Danio rerio: one gene and its partners. Each later gene encodes a partner of the first gene's protein in a complex. Links are inferred from orthologs where the notes say so. Each region holds a gene or a part of one and is shown in the gene's direction. Other genes may lie near its edges. The genes, in order: eif4e2rs1, tars1 and gigyf2.

Region 1 (4,174 bases):
ATTTGGTCCAGTCATGTACCGTAATTCACTGCGGCATGTGGGCCAAGCAAAACCTGATTGTGTGGGCCAGAGCTGGGCCAGAGAAATTTTGCTATGTGGGTTGGGTCAATTGTTTATATTACTATAGTTGTTGTGTTACCATAATCACCACAACAGATTAATTACTTTACTATAGTAAGTGTTTAACTTATACTGTTTCGTCTTTAGTTAAGCAGTTTGTAGATATTGTTTTAATTATATAAAGTTATTTATGTCTACATCTAGTTGCCACTATATTCTCATTTGACCTATTTTGACATGTCATGATAAACTGTGTAAATAAATCATTGAAGGTTTTAAGAAAATGCACAATATTTAAGTGAAGTCAACTTTTACTATTGACCGACTTTTGTAAAAAAAAAAATTTTACAAGTAGCCTGACTTTTGTTTAAAATCTTAACCTTATTCTTGAGAGATAGAAATAACTAATATAAGGTCTGAAGCACCAAAAGTAGCCTATTAAAGTTAAGTTTAACACTAACTAGGCTGTGTAAATCTCCAAAATCAAACTAAAAGTTTTCAGGGGTAGCTTAAATAATGTGTCAGTGCTCTTTGTGTAAGGGATTCATCAGAATAAACATCAAAATCAGTCCAAGGCACTTAAAAATGTGGAAAAAATAGTAACAGGCCTTTATTGACATGGCTGTGACTTAAAACTGTGATCAGGTTACCCTGATGAAGTAAAGGGTTATCAAAACGTGTAGGTGCAGTTTTAGGAAATAGTCATGTGAGTAAAGGCTTTATTATTTTCCCCACATTTTTCGAGTGCCTTTAGACTGACTCTTGCTGTGTATACTAATAGGTTGTTGTTAGATGAACAAGCTAATCCAACTAAAATAGTGCTTAAAATGCCTCTTATTGAAGTATTTAAATAGAAAATGAGGTGAATGACTGCAACAAAAGTCCACATTTTTTAGAAAAAAAAAAGAACCACCCTTTCACAAGACTGGCTACGGCCTGCTATAAGGCTTTTTTTGTCTGAGCACTGAGTTACTGTAAACAAGACTTAGCATTTTGTATATTTTAGCTCAAACCAGCAAATCGGACGGATTTAATTGATTTGTTTTTAAAGATTTGTATGCTTCGACCACGCTGTTATCATAATGTTTTGTTTGCCGTTGATTATTTCAACGTTTTGTTGTGTTTAATCAACATGTTTGTGTACTCTTTAAGCGAGTCTTCCGCGGTTTGTGCTTTTTGTCGTTTCTCGATTGCCGTCCGCACATGCGCAGTGACCGTGGTTGGCTTCAGTGTAGCATGTAGTATAGTTTATTCTCTGCCCGTTGAATTAAACACACTAACATCTAATAGTTTAACATAACAGTAATTATTCCAAAAGTTATAAAGCGTATTTATATATCGAGGTTTACGTTGAAAGAAGAAGCAGGAACGACAACGCGGAATGAATCAGTTTGAACAGTAAGTTAGCGGCTAACGGCTAATATTCTCCATTAAACATTTAACTTCAGCTATTACAAACATAAAGCAGATACATTCAACAAGACTCACGGGTTTATTAACATTATATAAAGATTAACGTGTGGTGTGTATGTCTTTAGTTTAATAACGATACATTTATTTAATGTGTTACAGTAATATTAATGTGTGGAATTGTTTATATGTGTATGTGGAACACACGTTTATATACAGTATTTGCTTTGATTTAGTGCACTGTTTAACAGTAGATTTAGATTCATCTTCATTTTAAACACAAGTAAAATAAACAAATATGTACCTTTATTTATCTATTATGTACATTATTTTATTTATTATGTGTATGTTTATATACACAACACACAATTGAGGTAAAGTTGGTTTTATTTCTGACATTCATTCAGTGTCAATTTGTTACATGCACCCTATATTTCCATATATATTTTTAACATAATTCCTGTTTACCATGGTAATTTGAATATTCTACCTAAAATTATGAATTTAAAACAACATTAGCACTATTTATTGACTGTAAACAATGCTGTACTTCGATAGCCATTGGCTGCTAATATGATATTACCATTTATAATTTGCAGAAATACTTTTCCAAAATTATATATATATATATATATATATATATATATATATATATATATATATATATATATATATATGAGCAATTCTGTGCAAATGTCAACCTTGCCATGAAAAAAAATTAAGTTTTTACCAAAATACGGAAACCATTTCTGGGTTTTTTGTGTAGGCAAGTATTTTACTGTACTTTAAAAATACTCAAAAAGCATCTGTTAATGTTTTCAAACTATTACTATTTGATTTACCAAAGTCACACAAATGGTAATTTCACATGCGTCACATCCATAACAGAGAGATGTCACATGCATAACAACACTTTTTCCTCAGAAATGTGAAAATATTAAATAAAATAAAACCAATCATTTTTGTTTTATAGAGAGCCGACTCAAATCCTTTTGATTAGCATTATTTCTTTTGGGTTGTGCAGTTTAATTCACATAATTTCTACAAAGTGTGTTGTATACTGTAAACTCGCAGACTTTTTTTGTCACACCCATAACGCATGCTTATTTTCCACATTTAAAGTACAAAACATGTTTACAGATTGATATTTTTCTGCTCCCATAACTCTGTGGCTAGTTGCTCTAGAAAATATAATCAAATTTTTCAATATAATGTTAACATATACTTCCTCTGTCAATTTATGTGTTGAGTTTTTACTGCAAATGTCACATCCATAATGCTGGAATTGCTCATATATATATATATATATATATATATATATATATATATATATATATATATATATATATATATTAGGGATGTGCGGAGCAGCCGGTATTTGTATTTGTATTTGTATTTGTTGAGGGGGGAAAAGTATTTGTATTTGTATTTGTATTCGAGTGAAATTCAAAATGGCGCAAAAATATATATTTTTTCTATTACACTTCTAATTTACGTTATAGTGAAAGTATTGTTTAATTATACCCATTATATAAATTATAGATATGCAATATTGGCTGTTGTTTTTGAACATGTGATAAGAAATGTCATTGAAAAGAAAATAACATAGAAGCCATTATCTCATCCATGGTTAAACCAACAACTAATAAAATACCATTGTGAATATTATGAACCCCACCACCACCGTTCTTGTTGAAGGACACTGAATAGACAGAATAAAAACAAATAATACTTCAAAAAACTGTTCTTCTTCTGAAAGAACTTCTTTCCAATGGACAGAATTCCAAAAACTAATATTAACTAAATAAATCTAAATAAAACCCTGCCTGGGAGATCTGGCAGAACAAAAGTATTCTATATAATACTAAAAGATACAGCCCTGCTATTGTCATCTGCCTGCCACAAAAAGACACAAAGTTTGTTTGTTTGTTTTTTTATGTTTGAAACTGACTTGCTGGGGCAGAATGTGGCTGTGTTGATGCTTTTAGGATGCTTTTAGTGCATGTGATAATACATTACATAGAAGGTTGCGCGGTGCTCTGTTTAGTGAGAAGCGCTCTCTATGGCAAGCCTTTTTAGCATTTAAATCTTTGTTCTGGCTCCATAAATATATTAGAGATATCTCTAATTATATTTTGACTAGTCATAATTATAATTCCACTACTCAGAATGACAATTAGACATATCTGCAATTACAATTGTACTAATACGTAATCAGATGAATTTTGACTAGTAACAACTGTAATTGATATCTCTGAGTTTTTACTAGTCATAATACATTTAGAGATATCTTTAATTCATCATATTTAGAGATATTTACAAATATATTTGAAGATATCTCTAATTAATTTACTAAAAGTCTAATTACAGTTGTAGATATCTTGAATTGGATTTTTGACTAGTCAAAATTCATTTGGAGATATCTCTAATTACAATTGTGACTAGTCAACTTATTTAGAGATATCTGCAAATATTTTTCAATGGAAGTCAATGGAGGAATATGACTAGTCTATCATAATATATTTGCAGATATTTCCAATCTGACTAGTCGAATTATAATTATGACAAGTCAAAATATAATTAGAGATATCTCTAAATATATTTATGGATAGTCTGAACAAGGTTTAAATGCTAAAACGGCTTGCCATACGCTCACATCCAGTCGCACAGTGGAGAGTTCTCTAGTTATATCCTTTCAGTCGTT
Region 2 (3,655 bases), on another chromosome or scaffold:
TACACCTTTTTACACAAAGGTACCTGATTTCAAACAGACTTTTGAGACAGCGTAATGATTTAATCACATACAACTAACATGAGAAAGCTTTGGTTATAAGCAGTCCCACACTGAATCTACGCGTGTGGAAATCTGCAGATTTTTAATTCATCATTTAGTCTATACATTTACTTTTGTAAATGTGTGTTAAATTATATTTATTAGTTTTTAAATTAATTTCAGTAATATTATTGGCTAATATGAAAATTTTCATATGATTTATTTACAATATAGTTTTAGTAATATTTTCTGTGTTTTTAAATCTATTATTAGCCTTTGTGAGACTTGCTTTGTTTACCAATTAAGCGGATCTAATTGAATTTGTATTGTAAACATTAAATAAAAGTTAAGAAGTTTTTTTTTATTTGATATATTAATTTATTTTAAATTTTTTTTAGTTGTGATACTCCCAAAACCTTTTCGCATAAATCCAGATTTTTTTTACAAAATTCTATGCAGAAACAGGAAAAAATATCTGCAGATTCTGTCTAGCCCTAGTTATAAGTTATATTTGCTCACCCCAATAGTTACTTCTCGAAATTTCATAAAAAAATTGATAACTTTTTAAAAACATACATTTACAAAAATGACTAAAATGGCTCTTTGAGAGTCTATTTTATTATTTAGTTCAAATATTACAAATGGAATGCACAGGATTATGGAATACCGAGGGCAGTGAAGTGCACATAGGCTGTGTTTGAAATTGCATACTTGCCTTCTATATAGTACGTAAAAAACAGTATGTGATATGAGTAGTATAATCAAATTCATAGAATTTGAAAAACAGTAGGCAAGAAGCATGATGACTTTCTATATTCGCAAGATTCTGAAGTGTACTTACAATGGATTATACGCTATGCCATAATTCCACACAAGATAATTCATGAATGGGAGTTAAGCAACGCAACTGAGGTGGGTAGGTTGTGTGATTATGACAAATGGTGGATGTAGTATGTTCGAGTTCCATTCAGACTTCTCATATTTATATTATATAGTATTTAGGGCTGTGCATTTAATCGAAAATCCGATTTCGATTTTGGCTTCTAACGATTATGAAAAATCATTAATCGAGATAAACTATTATTCCATCATATACGGCCCCCTTTTCAGTTGTACACATTTGTTGCTCTGCAAAGCTCAGTTCCATGTGAAAATAACTAAAAGCATGTACTGTTATGTAACTTTTGCAGCACGGGATGCGCATTGTTCATATTTTTAAAAGCTGTTGTGTGTGTGTGTGCACGCCGCGGATATGGCCTCGGACAGGCTCGCGCTTAGTCTCGGACAGCAGAGCACACACATCTAACGCCATCTTAATGTCGGCGCTTTAATGGTTAAATACATGCACATTTGTGTCAGAGGTGTTTAAGGATTATTCATATTAACTCTCATTTGTGTAATAAACAAACAAGTTGAGAATCAAAAGACATGTGAAAGAGAAACCATATCAGAACCGCACTATTCTTAAAGTGACAGCTTGCAATATTTCTGTGGCCAACTGTCTTTATTAATAATCAAAAAACAAATGGACAAAATCCTTCACTGCTCTTGACTGAATGACTTTTGTAGCTGAAGTGTTTTTTCTTACAGTGAAGATTCTTAAAGCACAGTTTAAACAAAACCGATTTAATAACTCATTTCTAATAAATGATTTCTTTTATCTTTGCTATGTTGACAGCACGTTATGTTTTACTAGATATTTTTCAAGATACTATTATTCAGCATAAAATGACATTCAAAGACTTATTTAGGGTAGGCAAATCATTGTATAACAGTAGTTTTTTCTGCACTCAAAAATTATATATTTCTTAAAAAGGCTAATAATATTGAGCTGTTAAAATAGGTTTCAAAATATTTAAAACTGCTTTTATTCTTTCCAAAATATAACAAATAAGCCTTTCTCTAGAAGAAGAAATATAGGAAATACTGTGAAAAATCCCTTTGTTAAACATAATTTGGGAAATATTTATATGTAAAAAAATTCACAGGAGGGCGAATAATTTTGATAATCTGATAATTGTGATTACAATTATGAACAAAGTAATCGTGATTATGATTTTTCCCATAATCGAGCAGCTCTAATAGAATGTACTTTTCTATCGGTCGTGTAGTACATACTCGAGTTGTAGACAGTTTCTGACACAACCATAGACTGCCTTAAAAATATGATCAGAATATAGCATCTACGGAGAAAGGATGTGAAGCAGAATTTGGATTCAGACATTTCTTGATACCTTTCTTTTAGAATACTGCATCAAAAGACAGCATTTTAGAGCTTTCAGACACAGACACACCTTAGCCATTTTCGACCACTGTGTTATTCATAACATTCACACGTTGAAGTAATCTTTCATGGTGTAACTACAGTATCTGGAGTTGTGGTATCTCCTAAAACAATTTTCTAATGATTCTTAACATATGAATCACTCTGACCATCTTACAGTATGCATAAAATAATATTAAAATTATTATTTTCAGTAGTATTCCAACACATTATACTTGTACATTAGTATAATTTGCTTGTGGCAAATGAATATAGTTTTCTGAATTAAAAACTGATATGTGACATCAAACGTAACGAACAAATCTTTACTAACATATTGTTGTTTGTATAAAAGGCAGGACAGTGTTGCTGAATTATACATGTTTGGTAAAGAAGATTTGGTAAGGAGAAGATTTCTCAGAGTTGTTTTTTTGTTTTCTAGTCTGATGTTTGACCACCGGCCACGTTCTTGGAGGGAACTTCCCCTGCGTCTGGCTGATTTTGGGGTTTTGCATCGTAATGAGTTGTCTGGAGCTCTGACTGGCCTGACAAGAGTCAGACGCTTCCAACAAGATGATGCTCACATCTTCTGCTCGATGGACCAGGTGTTTTACTGTTGAATGAACAATGCTTTTTGTCATTTGTTGTTTTCAGTGTTAACACTGAAATGCTAAGAATTTAGGGCAAAGATGAATTGTACCATTTGCAATAATAAAAAAGTACAAATGTACAAATAGGATTTTATATACAGAGAAAGATATTCAATGCAATAAAAGCATCAACTTTATTCTTTAGATAACTTGTTGAAAATTTGTCAAATACTGACGAAATAATGTTTTGTCAACATTCAGCACAACAGATATGATAATGTATTAATATTTAAATTTTATATATAATAAAAAAATCTATATTTATATATTTTTATATATATATATATATATATTTTTATATATATATATATATATATATATATATATATATATATATATATAAAAATATATATATATATATATATATATATATATATATATATATATATATATATTTTTTTTTTTTTTATTATTATGTCATTAAATTATCTTTGATCCATAATTATTATTTTTATTTACCGATCTAAATGTTTTAGAATCCTGCATTTCTTTTTTAGTGCATTAAAGGCATTTGCTTTATGAGCTTATGAATTGGTTTAAACTGAAATCAGGAGTTTATTCTTTGTTCCCCTCTTACCCCTGTCAGATTGAGTCTGAGATCAAAGGTTGTCTGGACTTCCTGCGTACGGTGTATGATGTGTTTGGCTTCACATTTAAACTCAACCTTTCCACCAGGCCTGAGAAGTTTCTAGGAGAACCTGAA
Region 3 (4,345 bases), on another chromosome or scaffold:
AGTCTGTCTTCTTGGTGATACATCCACTCTACAGAACTGAATATCTAAAGCACAGGCTAGGCTAGTCATCGCAGGATGTATTATTGCTTTGAGACTGGTGCTGTGAAATTGGAGGAACTCAGATACTCCCTCTTTTAAGGATTGGATTGAGCTGATGACTTCTACCTCATCTGTTGGCAAGACTTCAGGACTCCACCAATACTTTTAGTCAGAAATGGGGTAGCTTTTTACAGTATTTAGAGAGCATATAAAAGGACAATTGAAGGGTTGTCAATTTGACTGTCTGTTGTATTGTTTTATTAAATATTTTATATTTGTTATATATTTTTTGCTATTATTTTTATTATAATTTGTTTACATTCTTTTCCTGAATGTTCATTTTATATTGTGAATTTCATGTTGTGTGGGGTATAAAAGTTCAAAATAAAATAAAAAAGTTCAATGACAAAAAAAATTACAATTAAAATAAAAAAAATACGTTATATATATATTTTTTAAGAATTTGACTATTTTACTGCTATTTTATTGTTTTCTGATCCATTGCTTTTAAATTTTGTTTGTAAAGTGACATTACAGGCTTATAAACTGACTGATTGTTATATGGTCTTATCATACGAAAGCAGTTTCGAGAGTTCACACTTAGCTGATGATTAATTATAAAGCTTGTTTGGCATGCTGTCCCGGGAGAGTTGTTGAAATGTAATTCATAAAAATGTAATTGATTTAAATTAAGTATTCATTCGCAGTTAAACTGGTAAAGGACACAAATTGGATCACAGTTCAATTTAGAGGAAATACAGATTGTTTCCTTTTTTAGTTTTGACGCTTTCTAGGGCACTGCTCTACCCGCACGCATGATAAACTCTTTAAAGTGCTATATTATATGTACCCATTCTCAGAATGACACCTTTTTTTGCGTGACACAACAAGATGTCTCTTTTGCTTAGTTTCAGATCTTGGTGATAAGGAGTAGGCTAAGGGTTTGGGGGCTAGAGGTGTGTAACTCTTTTGATGTTTGACTCTTTTCACTTCTTCTAATAAACACCAACATGTTGATGCTTTTAATGATCATTCGTTTATATATTCATTTAAATAATGTAATTATTATGTCTGTAACAGATTAAAATATTAGAAATATCAGAACATGTGCTGTAAAAACAGTCCTAAATAACAACTTGAATTTCTTCAGATATGACACAATACAATTTTCTGATAATTTAAACCTTTTTGATATTAGAAAAATGATGTATAAATATATAAGTGATTAAGCTTATTTTGTTTGTGATTTTTCAAAGTTTTTGAGTGTCCTGGAATACAAATTATTATCTAATTCTAATGAACTTTGCCGAATTAATTACCATTACATTGTAAAACTACGTTCCATAAACCATTCAAGCTCTTTTAAAATCTTTAAAATAGCATTTATTTGAAGTGTCTGTGTGCACTGTAGTAAATATGCACTACGGAACTGCTGCTGTCAGCACGTTCGCTCACATCCGGGCCCTTTTCAGCCTACGTGTTGTCATGTGACCCACGTTCAGCCATCTTGTGGATACGAAACGAGAGACGCCACTCGCACACAAACTCAGCACTGTCAGTAAAAGCAGAGGTAAGACAGCGGCTCCGGCGTACATGGTTTTGCTCTAAAATAAAACGTAACTATTCCTACGCTATCTCTAAGTCTCATAGGCCTGCCACGACCTAGCGTAGCGTCGCTAATCTAGCCCGCATGGTTGTTAGGCCTCGAGGCGCCAGACTCGATTTGAGCGGCCTGCCGGTGATGATGCTATCAGCCTTAGGAAGGCGGCTGTAGCGCAGCGTGGTGTGGCTAAAAACTAAGCACAGGCCGCAAGGATTAAAACTCGTGTCAACTCACTCATACATTTACTTCGCTCACCGTTCAATGTGTATTCGTGATTGTGCTAGTATTTATTTCTGGAATATTTGACAGTTCGCCCACTTCGTGGTGTTGCGTGGGCTAATTTTTAAAGTTAGTAGGAGTTGGGAGTCAGAAAGTTAAATGCATGGCGATAGCCAGGCGAGTATGTCTCATCCCTATCGCCGGTTACATGGCATTTATAACGTTAGTTAACGATTCAGTCGTGCTTTATACATCTAAACATGCTTAAAACCGATTTGTTTGTGTGTCTTGATCTAAACGTTTGATTGTGGACTGCAGTGCTTGCAGGGTGTATGTATGAAGGCATGGACCGACAGTGATCTTTGGCATATTAAAGTGACATTTATCTGTGTTTGCTTTAGAGGTTTGTGTAAATAAATACACGATAAATTCACATTCAGATCAGTTACACATGATCGTATATACTAGCCTTCTTTATTGATCAAGTCTCGTCTGATATTGACAGTTTTCCTTATTAGTTTGACCTGTGAAGTCTCTCAAAGCTAAAATTAATCATTAAGATTTTTGTTATGTGTAAAAACGCGAATTTTATGCATTTTCAATCCTCAAAATGCCAAACCGTGGTGATTTATGTTCACTGCTCAGCAAGATGCAATCTGTTGACCATCTGTTTTGAAGCTAAACTAGCTTTATTGACTTTTTGTTCCGTGTTAAGCTGTTGAATTTTCCGCCCTGACTGGTTTTAAACAAATACTTGTGCTAAACATGCCTTTTGGGGACCTAGTGTGATCTAGTAGATTATATATGAAGATCCACATTTTTAATATAAAACATGATTGGTCGGTTTTTGTTGTAGGAAGCAAGCGTAATCTAGATCGTATTGCTTCATTGAGTTGTACACGTGGTTTAAATCCCAGCAAGTCAGCAAGTCACTCCTGTTTGTTTTGCATAGAGCTTATGTCATCATCTCATTGTGGCTGTGCACACTAAATTTAGAATATATTAGACCTAAAATAAAATGGCAAGCTTTCTTGTTTTCCCCCTTGGGTTAAACGGGTCTGGTTTGACAGGTCTCCTGAGATGACAGTATTTGACTATTATGAACATGTGATCAGTTCAAATCAAGTTCAGAAGAAGCTAGTTGTAGTACTGCATGGTGGGCAAGGGAAGCCGCGGGTTGCACAGATGTCTGAGAACGCCCTTCCTATTTGGGAGAGTTCTTAAAATAGCTCGTCACAGGAGGGGTGTATAGTGAGGTACCAGACAAATGGGGGTCACCTCTAAAATATGCTGAAAATATGCTGGTTTACTTGTTTCTCTATGTGTTTATTATTGAACCTGATAGAGCTTCACAGTATATGGTTTCAGGATTGATATTGCAATGTGCACATTTGCACTAGTCTCATCGCAGGATATGCAGTGTCAAGTCAGGATTAGAGTAGGATTTAAAATCACACTTGATCTTGGAATAATTGCAAAGTTTAAGCATAAAGTTACAAAACGTATGTGTTATTGCATGTGTTTTAAGCTCTCTGTATCCATTTCAATCCATTCATGCTCAAGAAGTGAACATTTTAGTAATTCGAATGACTAATTGTATTTATGTATAGTATATATGCAATAAATATTATATAGTGTTTTTTTTTGTTTTACGTTTAATTATGCAATTTGTCTGCCTGAATTAGGGCTGGGCGATACGGCAAAAATGCAATCTCTATAAATATTTTCCATATTGAATGATAACGATTTATATTCCGATATAAGTTATAATTGCTTTCAGATTTAAAAGAGTCCACCAACTATGACTGAGGCCACTAAAATTAGAAGGTCAATTAAACATATTTTCATAATAAAATATTAACATAATAAATATTAACATATTTTCGGCCAATAAATTTAGTAGCTGAAAATTCGGTACATTTCTAATGTCAACACACTTTTAGATTCCCATTGTTGCACTTTTCTGCTGTGTAATTGGCTCTTAGATCAATATAGAGTCAAAAAATCCAGAGCTTATCATTGTTGTTTTAAAAGAGTTTATCGCAATTCTATATAATATTGTTTATAGGTCCAGCCCTAGCCTGAATACTGTTAGACTTCCAGAAAAAAACAGGGTGTCCACGGGTTATTGAAGTCTTAATGTGTTAACTTTCAAAAATACAATTTTAGGGCTAAAACCTCTCAAGTTTCCTCAAATATTGTGTTTTAGATCTGAAAAAGTCTTAATTTTTCTGTGTTCATGTAAAACTAACCAATCGAGCAGATACTTTACACAGATCACCAAAATCCTTCTCAAAGTTTAATCAATTATTAACTCGGAGTATGATTTAATTACAATAAACATTTGTTAAAAGGTGTGTTTATAGCTACTTGGTGAGGACTGTTGTGAATATTTTTTATTATAGTTTTTAAAACTTATTTTTAATAAAGAAGTTTATGTTGGGAAACAAAGTGCATGTAAACTTGAGTTTGCTTTGTTTTATT

What was found.
Region 2: the proteins of eif4e2rs1 (region 1) and tars1 are in contact, whole or in part, in a crystal structure (PDB 5XLN), measured with the Homo sapiens proteins. The link is inferred for Danio rerio from reciprocal best matches to the Homo sapiens genes EIF4E2 and TARS1. Residues at the interface, in NP_004837.1 of Homo sapiens: His54, Pro55, Leu56, Gln57, Val91, Glu92, Phe94, Trp95, Arg96, Glu149, Asn150, Leu153, Leu156, Gly157, Glu158, Gln159, Met161, Val203; in NP_001245366.1 of Homo sapiens: Pro51, Glu52, Tyr53, Ile54, Tyr55, Thr56, Arg57, Met60, Tyr61, Ile63, Leu64, Glu67.
Region 3: the proteins of eif4e2rs1 (region 1) and gigyf2 are in contact, whole or in part, in a crystal structure (PDB 5NVM), measured with the Homo sapiens proteins. The link is inferred for Danio rerio from reciprocal best matches to the Homo sapiens genes EIF4E2 and GIGYF2. Residues at the interface, in NP_004837.1 of Homo sapiens: His54, Pro55, Leu56, Gln57, Tyr64, Arg66, Asn81, Lys83, Gln84, Ile85, Gly86, Thr87, Val91, Glu92, Phe94, Trp95, Arg96, Phe97, Ser99, His100, Met101, Val102, Leu107, Phe113, Glu149, Asn150, Leu153, Leu156, Gly157, Glu158; in NP_001096616.1 of Homo sapiens: Leu38, Ala39, Asp40, Tyr41, Arg42, Tyr43, Gly44, Arg45, Met48, Leu49, Leu51, Phe52, Leu53, Asn56, Lys57, Ile58, Pro59, Asp61, Leu62, Asp64, Glu66, Phe67, Pro69, Ile70, Leu71, Gln72.

Annotation. Positions count from the first base shown.
Region 1 is NC_133198.1:48,179,388-48,183,561, forward strand, and holds the start of eif4e2rs1 (eukaryotic translation initiation factor 4E family member 2 related sequence 1), read left to right. Parts: upstream 1-1,233; 5' UTR 1,234-1,441; coding exon 1,442-1,458; intron 1,459-4,174. UniProt on the Homo sapiens protein: Recognizes and binds the 7-methylguanosine-containing mRNA cap during an early step in the initiation. Acts as a repressor of translation initiation.
Region 2 is NC_133180.1:45,231,474-45,235,128, forward strand, and holds part of tars1 (threonine--tRNA ligase 1, cytoplasmic), read left to right. Parts: intron 1-2,744; coding exon 2,745-2,907; intron 2,908-3,538; coding exon 3,539-3,655. UniProt on the Homo sapiens protein: Catalyzes the attachment of threonine to tRNA(Thr) in a two-step reaction: threonine is first activated by ATP to form Thr-AMP and then transferred to the acceptor end of tRNA(Thr).
Region 3 is NC_133177.1:51,526,767-51,531,111, reverse strand, and holds the start of gigyf2 (GRB10-interacting GYF protein 2), read left to right. Parts: upstream 1-1,539; 5' UTR 1,540-1,609; intron 1,610-4,345. UniProt on the Homo sapiens protein: Key component of the 4EHP-GYF2 complex, a multiprotein complex that acts as a repressor of translation initiation. In the 4EHP-GYF2 complex, acts as a factor that bridges EIF4E2 to ZFP36/TTP, linking translation repression with mRNA decay.